Linked DNA regions of Sus scrofa. Each later gene encodes a partner of the first gene's protein in a complex. Links are inferred from orthologs where the notes say so. Each region holds a gene or a part of one and is shown in the gene's direction. Other genes may lie near its edges. The genes, in order: AP1M1, AP1S1 and AP1G1.

What was found.
Region 2: the proteins of AP1M1 (region 1) and AP1S1 are in contact, whole or in part, in a crystal structure (PDB 1W63), measured with the Mus musculus proteins. The link is inferred for Sus scrofa from reciprocal best matches to the Homo sapiens genes AP1M1 and AP1S1. Residues at the interface, in NP_031482.1 of Mus musculus: Lys12, Glu31, Asn186, Asn188, Val189, Leu190, Glu232, Glu234, Asn270, His272, Arg421; in NP_031483.1 of Mus musculus: Lys26, Lys30, Arg33, Glu34, Gln37, Lys43, Glu51, Trp52, Arg53, Asp54.
Region 3: the proteins of AP1M1 (region 1) and AP1G1 are in contact, whole or in part, in a cryo-EM structure (PDB 7R4H), measured with the Mus musculus proteins. The link is inferred for Sus scrofa from reciprocal best matches to the Homo sapiens genes AP1M1 and AP1G1. Residues at the interface, in NP_031482.1 of Mus musculus: Ser289, Asn318, Asp319, Ala320, Asp321, Ser322, Trp334, Pro336, Glu337, Asn338, Ser339, Gly361, Leu362, Pro363, Ser364, Val365, Glu366, Ala367, Glu368; in NP_001288140.1 of Mus musculus: Arg24, Glu25, Gln28, Lys29, Ala32, Arg35, Ser36, Arg39, Glu40, His64, Phe65, Gln67, Leu68, Gln97, Val99.

Annotation. Positions count from the first base shown.
Region 1 is NC_010444.4:61,383,506-61,387,250, reverse strand, and holds the start of AP1M1 (AP-1 complex subunit mu-1), read left to right. Parts: upstream 1-1,122; 5' UTR 1,123-1,275; coding exon 1,276-1,317; intron 1,318-1,432; exon of another isoform or gene 1,433-1,543; intron 1,544-3,745. UniProt on the Homo sapiens protein: Subunit of clathrin-associated adaptor protein complex 1 that plays a role in protein sorting in the trans-Golgi network (TGN) and endosomes.
Region 2 is NC_010445.4:8,879,540-8,883,284, forward strand, and holds the start of AP1S1 (AP-1 complex subunit sigma-1A), read left to right. Parts: upstream 1-1,453; 5' UTR 1,454-1,589; coding exon 1,590-1,592; intron 1,593-2,095; exon of another isoform or gene 2,096-2,225; intron 2,226-3,366; coding exon 3,367-3,545; intron 3,546-3,745. UniProt on the Homo sapiens protein: Subunit of clathrin-associated adaptor protein complex 1 that plays a role in protein sorting in the late-Golgi/trans-Golgi network (TGN) and/or endosomes.
Region 3 is NC_010448.4:14,807,303-14,811,047, reverse strand, and holds the start of AP1G1 (AP-1 complex subunit gamma-1), read left to right. Parts: upstream 1-1,226; 5' UTR 1,227-1,638; intron 1,639-3,745. UniProt on the Homo sapiens protein: Subunit of clathrin-associated adaptor protein complex 1 that plays a role in protein sorting in the late-Golgi/trans-Golgi network (TGN) and/or endosomes.

The DNA of each region.
Region 1 (3,745 bases):
AAAATGCCCAGAGCAAGTCTGAAAGGAAATCCTCCATAATGAGAGGGGTTACCGCTCCCATGTGGATTTCTTTATACTTTTTGGCATTTCCTGATTTCTTCAGTGCAATGTACAGTTTTGTAATTTAAGAAAAAAAAAGACACTTTTTTCCTAAAAACATAATTTGGGCAGAGTGAGGCTAGGTATAATCAGATTGCTTAAGAGACGGTGTCAAAAAGCTTCTCAGCTGCTTTATGCCCAGGATTCACTGGTAATCTTTAAAGGTTCTAGTTTTCTTCTCTGGATTTTCTTGCACTTACATCTCTACCTTAAGTAGAAGGTATATAACCACAAAGTTGCAAAAACTAACTCTCAAAACCCAAAATGGAGGCAGTAAGGAAGATAAAAGTAAGAGGCAGGCAGCCGGGGTAAATGGTTCTGATAGTGCAGGGCCTGGGGCCCAGGGCATTGTGATGGTTCACTGGGACAGAATGCAGCATTTCTCCAAAGGCCGAGTATTCATAAAAGCAAACAAGGTATAATTCAATTAGATGAATCAGGAGTCACAATTTGCATTACTCACAGTGACCACTACCTACAGAAATAAATCACCTTTTTGCCTAGGTTCAGTGAGGCGTGGTTTTCAGATCATTTCAGGCAATAAACTGCACGCTTGTTTACCAAATGTTAGCACTGACAGGTGACAGGAACTTACTGTTGATGAGGCTCGATTGCCATTCAGAGAGTTTGAGTTCTTTCCAAGTAACCACCACCTTATCCCTCCTTATAAAGTGTATCACAATTGGTGTCTATGTATTTGTTCCCCAGCCTTCCCCACCAAACTATGAGTTCCACATGGCTGGGCCCTCGGTGGGTTCCACCACCAGGATCTCTCACCTAGTTTGGCCCACCAAGTGGGATTTTCCAGCGACATGAGTTTTCCCAGCTGCCATTCGCCGTCCAACCAGGCAGCTAGAGAGTTGCTCTTCCGCCGTCCGCCCGGCTTGGCCCCGCCCCTCCCCGCCCCTCCCCGCCCCTCCCCTAAGAGCTTACTTCCGGGATACTTGAGGGAGGAGCGGAAAATAAGGCCTTATCGGGAATATTGCGCCTGCGCACATGGCGCCTTGCGCCTGCGCTTTGGCAGCGCGTCCACGGCCAGACCTAACGGTCCGCGCGCTACTCCCCGGGCCGGAAGTGGAGAGGAACTGTCTCGGGTGCGCCCGGCCTGGCTCACCGCCTGGCAGTCACCGCTGTCGCCGCCGCCTTCGGCCAGTGCCGAGGGTTTTTGCAGCCGCCATGTCCGCCAGTGCCGTCTACGTGCTGGACCTGAAGGGCAAGGTACTGATGGCTCCCCACCCTCGGTGTTGCCAGGCAACTGGCCGGGGCCTCGCCCCTGGGGACCCACCCTGTTGCTAGGTAGCCGGCCAATGGGAGCCTCCCTGGTCTTTGAAGCTTTGGCCTCACCTGAGGGCTCTACCCTGTTGGTAGGTAACCGAGAAGGTGTCTTCTGTCTGTGAGTCCTGCCTTGTTGCTAGGTAACGCGGTGGGCTGCGGCCGTTGCAAGGTAAACGCGTGCACGACCCCCATCCTCACCTCTGTGGGCAATGAGCTCCGGCCTCCGTGGGGGTCCCGGGGAACCCGAGGCCGCTAGGAGCGCGGGCCGCTGCCGGCATGTAAGCCAGGCCTGACGCCGCGGGGCTGGGCGACCCTTGACCGGAGGTGGTGAGGCGTGGCGGGGACACTGTGCCCTCAGGCCAGTCCCGCTCTCCGAGAGCTCGGAAGCTTCTGTTTATCCAGCGACTTTTCTGTAGCAGTCCTTGTAGGGGTTTCTTAACATTCATTGTAACATTGAGTTATAAGGGTTAGGTGAGGTGGGTGGTGGGAATGCTGTTTTACAGAGGGAGAAACTGAGGCACAGAGAGGAAATGCAACCTGCCTAAGGTCACACTGGTCAGTCACAGAGAAGTGGCAGGTCTGGGAGTGGAACCCAGAATCATTTGTTCATTCAGCTGGTATTTGGGGAATATCTACGAAGTGCTGGGCAGGGTGCTAACCTTTGGGTTGCCTTTGGAGAGCAAAATCAGAGTCTGTCCCTGTCCTTCTGGAGCTCACAATCTGATGGGCGAGAGGGACACTGATCTCAAAAAGCACAAATAAATATAAGTTGTGGAGCAGTGAGGATGTAATAGGAAAGTCCACCTCCGCTGGGGGTCAGGGAGGGCTTCCCAGGGGGAGTGACAAACCCAGCTGAGACATGATGGAGGAATTGGACATAACTAGAACCTCGGTGCTTTTCCCAGGGGTTTCAGGGAAAAGTTCTTAAAGGAGGGATTGCAAAGCTTTCAGAGGAGGCCTACTGTCTTCCCCCCAAGTCCATTCCTTCTAGAAGGCAACTGGCCTCTTTCATTGGGGAATAATAAGAAAAGACAGGACTAACAACATTAAAACAGGCCCCTCATGGATGAGTTAGTGGGTGCCAGGCCTAGGCGGAGGGAACAGGAGTAGCGCAGAAGCAGTAGGGAGTGAAGAGGTAAAGTGACTGTCCCTTGCCACCCCAGTCCCCACCCCCAGCACTTTCCCAGAGCCCCTTGAGTGGGTTGCCTGCCTTGGAGGCCACCCAAAGTCAACAGGCCCTGGGCCAGGCTTCCTTCCCCAGCCTTCTTAGAGGGCACAGGGCACACCAGGGACTGGGAGGGTGCAGTGTTCCCTGTGTCTTGGTAGCACATGTTCTTGTTTCTGCCATGGTCACCGTGTCCGCAGCAGTGCCGCAGACTGCCTGCTCACATCACTTGTTTCTTCAGCAAACATTTCATGAGCACCTCACATGCACCAAGTCCAGGGTTGACCTGAGGAGTTAGGGCTGAGCTCAAAACCTGTCTCTGCTGCTCAGCTACGTGACCTCGGGCAAGTGTGTGAACTCCCTGAGCTCAAGACAAGCTCAGCACCACCCATGGTCCACAGTCCATGTTAGTCCCCATGGACCTCGAGCTCTGGCAGGGGAGGTGCATGAAAGCTGACAGACCCAAACAGAGACATGGATCTAAATAGGCAGATGTACTTAGCAACAAGGGCAAGGACAAAGCCCCAGGTAATGAAGTTGCCCAACCTTAGTTTTGGCTGGCAGCAGAAGTGGTTACGAAAGGCTTCCTGGAGGAAGGAGAGGCCAGAGCTGGGAAGGTGACCAGGTGGTAGTCAGGTGGACAAGGAGGTGTCACAGTGGGCCCAAGGGGTGAGTGGCAGCCTATTGGGCCTGGCAAGCCAGAAGTCCTAGTTGGTGCTGGAGCCTCGGAGATGGCATCAAGAAGGCCATGGGTATTGAGGATGTCCAAACAGGAGGGCAGGACAGAAGGGACTATTTTATCTCAAGAAGGAAAAGCCACCATGAGGAGACCATAGCCTGGGAGAAGCATAATCAGACATGCCTTTCAGGAAGCTCCAGAGGCAGCCTCCTGTCCTGAGTAACCATCATGCTATTTATTATCCTCCGCCCCCCACCCCCTCACCCTGCCCCACGGACCTCATGTTTTGAATGTTGGCCTTCTGCGCAGACTCCATTAAATCAAAAATAAGATAATGGCACATCAATACATTCACAACCACTCGTCTACCTGACAGCCAGAGCCTCTGATCACCAAGGAAACCAGCGTGACCACTTTCAGCAGATAGAAAACCCTCCACGGACATTTCTCTGCCCCTTATCTTTCTCACTTCTCTGCAACTTCCATCACCACCTGCCACGCTCCTCCTCAGAAGGCTTCCATTGGCT
Region 2 (3,745 bases), on another chromosome or scaffold:
TGTATTGTCTTGTCCTCTGCCCTTCTTACCCGATCCCATCCCTTCTTCTCACTCCATAACGATTTACCCTTTCTAACACTAACACCTTGCTTTATTGATATAATTCTTGACCTAAAAAATAACACCAAGAGAGTTCAGCCGACATCGTTGGCAAGACTATGATACAGGCAGAGGAGAAAGGGAAAAGAAAAAGAAAGGAAGAAAAAATAGTAGAAGGAAGAGGGTGGAAAAAGCAAATAGTCGTAATCCCTACCCAAATCAGGTGTTTACAGTGTGTCAGATATATACAGCCTGAAATCAGACTTGCAGGGTAGGTAATGCTATCTTCGTTTTTAAAATGAGGAAAGGAGGGTTAAATGATCCACTTGAGGAGTTCCCTGGTGGCCTAGAGGGTTAAGGATCTGGTGGCTTGGATCTCTGCTGTGGCGAGGGTTGGATTACCTGGCCTGGGCACATCTGCATGCTGTGAGAGCAGTACCCCCCCCCAAATGACCCACTTGAGACTATACATCAAATAAGAATCAGAGACCAGATTGCATCCCAGGTGAATTAGGCCCACCCTCTGGCAACTAAAGCATATTACCTCCATAACAAAGAGTAAAGGAAAAAGAATACAAAGTGGAGACAGGTAGGACCTTACCAACAACTGCTTCAAGTGCTGCTCATAAGTAATAGCACCATTAATTTCCAAGAATTATCTAGAAATATGCCATTTTTTCAGCAAGTTTGAGATTTTCTTACCTATTTATATGCAAACTCCTTTACACACACAAGCATACACACTCAAACATGCACATCCTCAGCCAAAAAGCTTGTATGACAATTCTCATCTTTACACTTGTGTCTGGGTTACAACTGACCCTTTCCTAGCTTTGATTTATGCTAACCTTTTAAAATTTTCTCGACTTCTTCCTCTTTTGCCTTAATTCATGCTCCCCCTCTTCCTTACATCAGTTTTCTATCAGCCCCTCCTTTTTCTTTTATTTCTGGTCTCTCTCATTACCTACAAATCTCTCTTACTTTGAGTGTTGCATCTAGCAGGTTCTCAGTAGATATCTATTTTGAGCTCCATACTTTTCTCAAGCTTGCCCCCCCCACCCTTTGTCTTCGCCTTTCTCATCATTCTTCCTTCCCCACAGACAGTTCCCACCTTGTTCCCTCTCAGTCGCCCACGCCCCTTCCATTAAACCACCCTACTTCCTCATGAACTCCAGCGGTCATCTCACCCATCTCTCACCCCTTTTCCCGCCTTTTCCCCCCAAGGTTCCAAAGCGCGAGGACCTCATTGTCCTCCTCCCCCGTCCTCCAACCAGCCCACAAGACAGCCTTGTTACCATGACGACAGAGCTAATCAAAGCTGAAGTCGAGGACCTGGTTGCCATGGCTTCCGCTTCTCCGCCCCCCAGCCCCGCCTGCGCGCCCTGCAGCGTTGGCGCCTGCGCAGTACGCATCGCATGGGTTCTCCGTGCCGGGGCGGACGGGGCGGGGCTTCAAGCGTGAGGGAGGGAAGGAGGCGAAGGGATCTGAAAGGGAGTGGAGCTGGCGCCTACGGTGGCTGAAGAGGGACGCGCAGGGCCGGAGGCTGCAGGATGGTAGGCTGTGCAAAGAGGGAGGGGAGGGGGAACCGAGGGGCGTGGGCTGCACCTGCGGGGGTCCTGGGGGGCCGCCCTCTGTGTGAGCCGTTTCCTTCCCTCCGGTCCTCAGAGGCCTTTACTTATCCGGACGGGTGGGCCAGCCGGCCTCGAAAGGAAGAGCAGCTGGAAATGGCTTAAGGGCAAAGGGGCGGGGAGGGGGCACATTTGTGGGGTGAGAGGGTGACTAGGGGGCGGCGGGACTGGCCCGGGCGAGCGGGAACGCGCGGGTCGCGAACCCAGTGGTCCCGAGCCCTGCCACAGGGAAGTCGCCTGAGGAAGAGCGGCACCGGGGCCTGTCGGAGGAGGAAGGCAGAGGGGGGTCTCGGGTCACCCAGACTGACTGTACCCGTGCAGCCCACAGAGAAGCGGCGGCCGCCGGCGGGGAGGGCCGTGTGTGTGGGAGGGGATAGTTTCCGGGTGTGACGAGGGGACGTCCTGCCGCGGTTTGCCGCCCTGCTCACCTAGAGGCTGGAGTGAGGTGGGAAAGCCAAGTGGTCTCGAGGTTTTGCTCTCGGGGACCCAGCTTTTGGCTCCTCGGCTCGCGTGCTCTGGCCTCTCCGCCCCCACCTCATCCTCTTTCCGGAACCCAGGCCTTCCGTCTTCCTGCTGCCCGGCCCACCCCCCATCTTAGCGGAGCACGGCTCCCTTCAGCCCCTCCGTGGCCCTCCCACCACGCTAGCAGTGCTACCCCTTCCCTGCCAGCAAAAAAAAAAAATCGGTTCTCTTGAATTCTGATCTTTAGCCTGCTAGTGTTGTTCCACATCCCCAGGATTCCGGCCCTGGGAATGTACACGGAGACAAGAGCTAGTGGGTGAGGGAGATGACTCCAGGTGTGACCCAGACCCCTGGAACTGGGAAGCTGCCGGCGGGGTTTGCGGGGTTTACGGGGTCGAGGGTTCTGCACTCTTCCCCACTCCACCCTCTTGCACTTGTTCCACAACATTCCCTAGGGGAGCCACTCTGAATGGCTGTGTCCAAACTGAGGAACTGGAAGGGAAATTGGTCACCTGGTATCTGGGGAGGTGTGGGCGTTGTAGCAGGTGGCACCCTGAAAGGAAGAAAAGAGGAATCTCAGAGGCCAAATGCCTGGGTGGCTGAGGAGAGAGGAGGGTGGAATCATGTGCTGACATGAAGGAGACCCTGGGGCATAGGCCTGGCACTGGCGGGCAGTGTGTTGGGGACATCAGCTAGGGTATCTGGCTGGGATGGGGTGTTGAACTGAGGTAGCTTCTCGAGGGATGAGATACCTGATTTCAGCTACAGGCTACTTGTCACTGTGCTAGCATTTTACCCACTTTTGGAAAACATGATTAGGAAACAGAAGATCAGGGAATAATAATAACACCTAAGGTGTTAACGTGCTCATTTCCTGCCGGGCACTGTGTCATTTATCAACTCTCTTCATCCCATTCAACAACTGTGTAAGGTAGGGACTTTTATTATTTTCACCTTACACACCAAGAAGCTGAAGCCCAGAGACATAAAGTAATTGCCCAAGGCAAAGTACTCAACTAGTGGAGCCAGGATTTGAACCCGAATAAGAGACTCAGAAGCTCTGACACCTGCTAGTGGAAGCACCTAGGCTTGACAGCAAGGGCTGACATGTTGGAGAAAGGAGCTGTGAGTAGAACCGTTAGTTGGGATGAGTTTGGGGCTGCGTAGTTATGGAGGAAACAAGCTCAGAGAACCAAATCTCTGACCTTCTGCTCTGACTCTCCCCCTCCACCCCCAGATGCGATTCATGCTGCTGTTCAGCCGGCAGGGAAAGCTGCGGCTGCAAAAATGGTACCTGGCCACATCAGACAAGGAGCGAAAGAAGATGGTTCGGGAGCTCATGCAGGTTGTTCTGGCTCGCAAGCCCAAGATGTGCAGCTTCCTCGAGTGGAGGGACCTCAAAGTCGTCTATAAGAGGTGACTTCCCACCTGCTCTCAGTCCCACCTGTTTCCTGCTTGATTGGGGTCTGGCTATGGGTTCACATGGCTGAGAAATAAGCAGTCCTTAGATCAGGGAGAGCTGAGAGCTAAGGACCTCTGGAGGCCAGTGGTGAACTCCAGCCACCTTGACTGAAATTCTGGTTCCCTTTTGGTTTTGTCCAACCTGACACCTATTT
Region 3 (3,745 bases), on another chromosome or scaffold:
TTAAATTATATATATGAAGAACTTATTATATACAATGCAATATCAATATTTAATAAAAATGATGTTACTATTATTACACTCTTGGTCTCCTTTCTTTCCAGCCTTGGCATGCCCCAATTGTTCAAGAGCAAAATTGTAAGGTGGCCCTACTCAATTTTTGTAAAATGCTTTGAAATCCCTTCCTGAAAATGGCTAAGGAAAAAAACCTCCTGTCTATGACAGGTCCTAAACTCAAGGTTTGTGGTTGATTCAGCTCTTTGTCATCTAGCTAGGTGCTGTGCTTTGTTCACTTTTGGGGATATTCTATTGCCATTCTACCTGAATGATTTTAGTTTAGATAGGTCACCTTTCCTTTAAACAGGCCAAGATATCATGGTAGTCTTTATGTGCACGTGGAAAATATTCGTGTAAGGTGTTAGTAATTATTTATCAAGCCAGGACCTGGCTGATGCCTCAGGTTGGCCTGTATAGTTGGCCTGTCTTTGGCGCAGGTCATCATGGCATGGAGTCAGTGAGAAGGCACACTCTGAAAGGTTTTAGCTATCGATAGTCCAAATCCTCTTTTTTTACATGAGAAAACTGAGTCCCAGAGACTTTAAATGTCTTGTTCAATGCAGGAGGTTGAGAGATGATACTGGGGTTGGAATCTGTTCTTCTGTGTCTTCTGCTTTTTTTTTTTTTTGTTTTTTTTTTTTGCTTTTTAGGGCCGCATATGTGGCATATGGAAGTTCCAAGGCTAGGGGTCCAATCTGAGCTACTGGTCTAAGCCACAGCCACAGACAGCAAGGAAGGATCCCAGCCGCGTCTGCAGAGTACACCACAGCTCATGGCAACTCCGGATACTTAACCCACTCATATCCTCATGGACTCTAGTCGGGTTCACAACCCGCTGAGCCACAACGGGAACTCCTTCTAACTCTATTTTCACAAAATACGTTCCAAGGTGCCATAAAACCTCAGAGTCCAAGATCACTTGGAGTATGTTTCTGAAATTAAACCTAAAGAGAATGCTAAGGTCTCAAAGAAGATAGGAAAAGAATCTAGGGTTCTCATGGCATAGGACCCACTTAGCCTAGCTCAGAGTTCTCCGCCCCCACCTGCCTCGGCTCTCCACTTCCTCCGCTACCTTGCAAGCCCCACCCTCTTCAGGTGGCCCCGCCACTTCCTGGTAGCCCAGCTTCCCCACCCCCTACCCCAAGCGGAACCAATGTCCCTGGGCCCCGGGGTCGACCGGATCTTTCTTGCTCCTACTCTTCGCAGCGGTGACTCGGCAGCAGCGTCTCGCGTCATCAGTGACAGCCCCGAATTTTGCTACGCTTTGCGTCGCTCTGCCAGAGCAGTCACCTCCTCCTTGGCAAATAGTCCTCGGTGGGGTCCGAGTTCCTGGATAATAAGAGGGGGGAGGCACGAGAAATTGCAGCCAGGGGACAAGGGATCAACAAGCAGAGGGAGCTAGGGACTGAAGTTTCTGCGATAGTGTGCGAAGTTAGTTAAAAAAAACTCCCTCCCTCCTAAGAATCCTTCCGCCTGCAGTAGCGGTGGTGAGGCTGAGGGAGCCGCCATTTTGGATGTTCGGTTCCTGCTGCCACTGCTGCCGCCGCCCCCGAAGCTGCTGGTTTCATTCGAGGTTTCGGGCCGGTGAGTGTCACTCGTGGCGCTAAGAGCATACTGCTTTTTTTTGCCCAGTGCCTGTCAAGAGCGCTCGGCCGGAGACTTCCTGTCAATTCTAGGGGTCCGGTCCCAGGCCGTGGGGGGTGAGAAGAGAGGACGGAGGCTGAGCCTGTAGGGGCCCGGAGCCCCAGGAGCTCCTCGACTTCTTGAGGGCCGACCCCGAGGCCTCGGACCGGGAGGCTCTGCGCGCGGCCGCCTTCCGTGCTGCGGCGTTGCCCGGCTGGTGTGGGCCTTCTTGAACCCATTGACTTTCTCAGGCTGAGATCCTTCTTTGAGGGCTCATTCAGAAAGCCTAGGGTTAGCGGGGCGGGTCCCACCTCGGGCGGGTCCCACCCCCGCGTGTCTTCTCTGTGCCACGTATCAGCGTTCTTGTATCTTGTACCCTTGTCAGGTCTTTCGTAGAACTCTCATCGGCGTTTCCAAATGCTTCGTTAGTCGCTGTCTGCACCTGCATTGCTGTTCTCTTAGAACCGGACATTGGCCTCGCCTCTCTCTAACCTTCCTACCAACTTCTTTCCCAGTTTTCCGGGTGTTTCTTTTTCATTTTCTTTTTTTCTTAAACTCATCTGCCAATACACTGCTTATCTTCTCTCAAACTCCTGATCCTGTAGGTGTCAACTACTAATAATTCTCTCGGTCTTCTTAACTGTTGGGGAGAGTCAGGACGGTTGGTTGTGTTTCCCTGTTAGGGTTTTGTTGTAGGAGACGGGTCGAACCACTCGCTCAGAGTGTAAATATTTGTAAAGCTAATGAAACGGCTTTGCGGAGAGGAGGTGGTAGGGAGAGGCTGTCAAATGTTTTCGCATTTGTGGGGTTCCCTTCCCATGCTGAACACTTAACTTTTGGGTACTTTTTGATATTTATGTATGGTGTATATCATTGCCTATGAAAATCTACCTGTGAAAAAGAATTTCAATCTGACATAGATAGAAAGGAAAGTAACTTTTTCGGCTGCTCTGGGCATTGCTTAACAGAAGAGAGGAGTGAATGAACATATCTTAGTGACCTTAACTTTCAGTTGGTTTGTACAGTAATGTTCTTTGTTGGCTGATTCTAAAAAAGTACTTGGATTAATTTCGTGTATTGTATTTTTCTGGGGATAGTTGGATTTTAAATATCCGCTTTCATTATTCCCCATAATACTTGTCAGACTGTATACACCTTAACTTTTTTGGTTTAAAAATATAGACTCCCCAGATACCCATAATCTTACTTTTATTTTGCTCTTAACATGTTTATATTATAGCGTGCTTGAATAAAAGGCATTTCACAGTAATTCACTGATTATTTCCTACATTTCAAGTTAGGTGAGTGTTATTGAGTCACTTGTATTTCATCTCAGCCTGGATTTTTACATCTGCAAAAGAATAATAACTGACTTGAAATTGTAGCCTAGTGATTTAAACTTAGATTTATAACTTGAACTGGGTCAGATTTTTTAGTACTTCTAATCCATTTATAAGTGTATTATTCTTATCCTCAGGTTATTATCAGGTAGATAAATTCCGCTGCTAGTCATGTTTTCAGAAGAGTGAATGTTTTCATTGTAAATAGTGTTTTTGTTATTTGTTATAAGGAGACTTTACAAAAATACATTAGTTACTATTTGTGTATTTACTCTGAAGCTGTGGAGTTTCTCTTTTCCTTGAAAGAACTGTCAAACAGAACATAGATGGAATCCTCACTCATTTACTAAGTATCCTCTTGTAGTTGCTACTGACATATTCCATTTTTGAGTTCCACTTTAAAAACAAGGTATTGGAAGAACTATCACATAGGTATTATTTACTCGGTTTATTTCATGGAATTGTGTACTGGTATTTAAATACCATTCATTCTTAGGTGGTTTGTGTTCAGTTGGAGAAAGTGTCCTTTTGCTTTGCAAATGATAAGCAAAACACCATCGATTGATTAGCACAGACTTGAGTATCTACTTTGTCTAAAGAGGTTGAGATTGTACTTGAAATTAACATCATTTAGGAAACCTCAATTTATTTTCTTTTGGAAGCAATTGCTGTTCTCTAATCTGTTTCACTGACAGGAGTTCTAGATTTGGAGGTGTATTTTAGAGTGA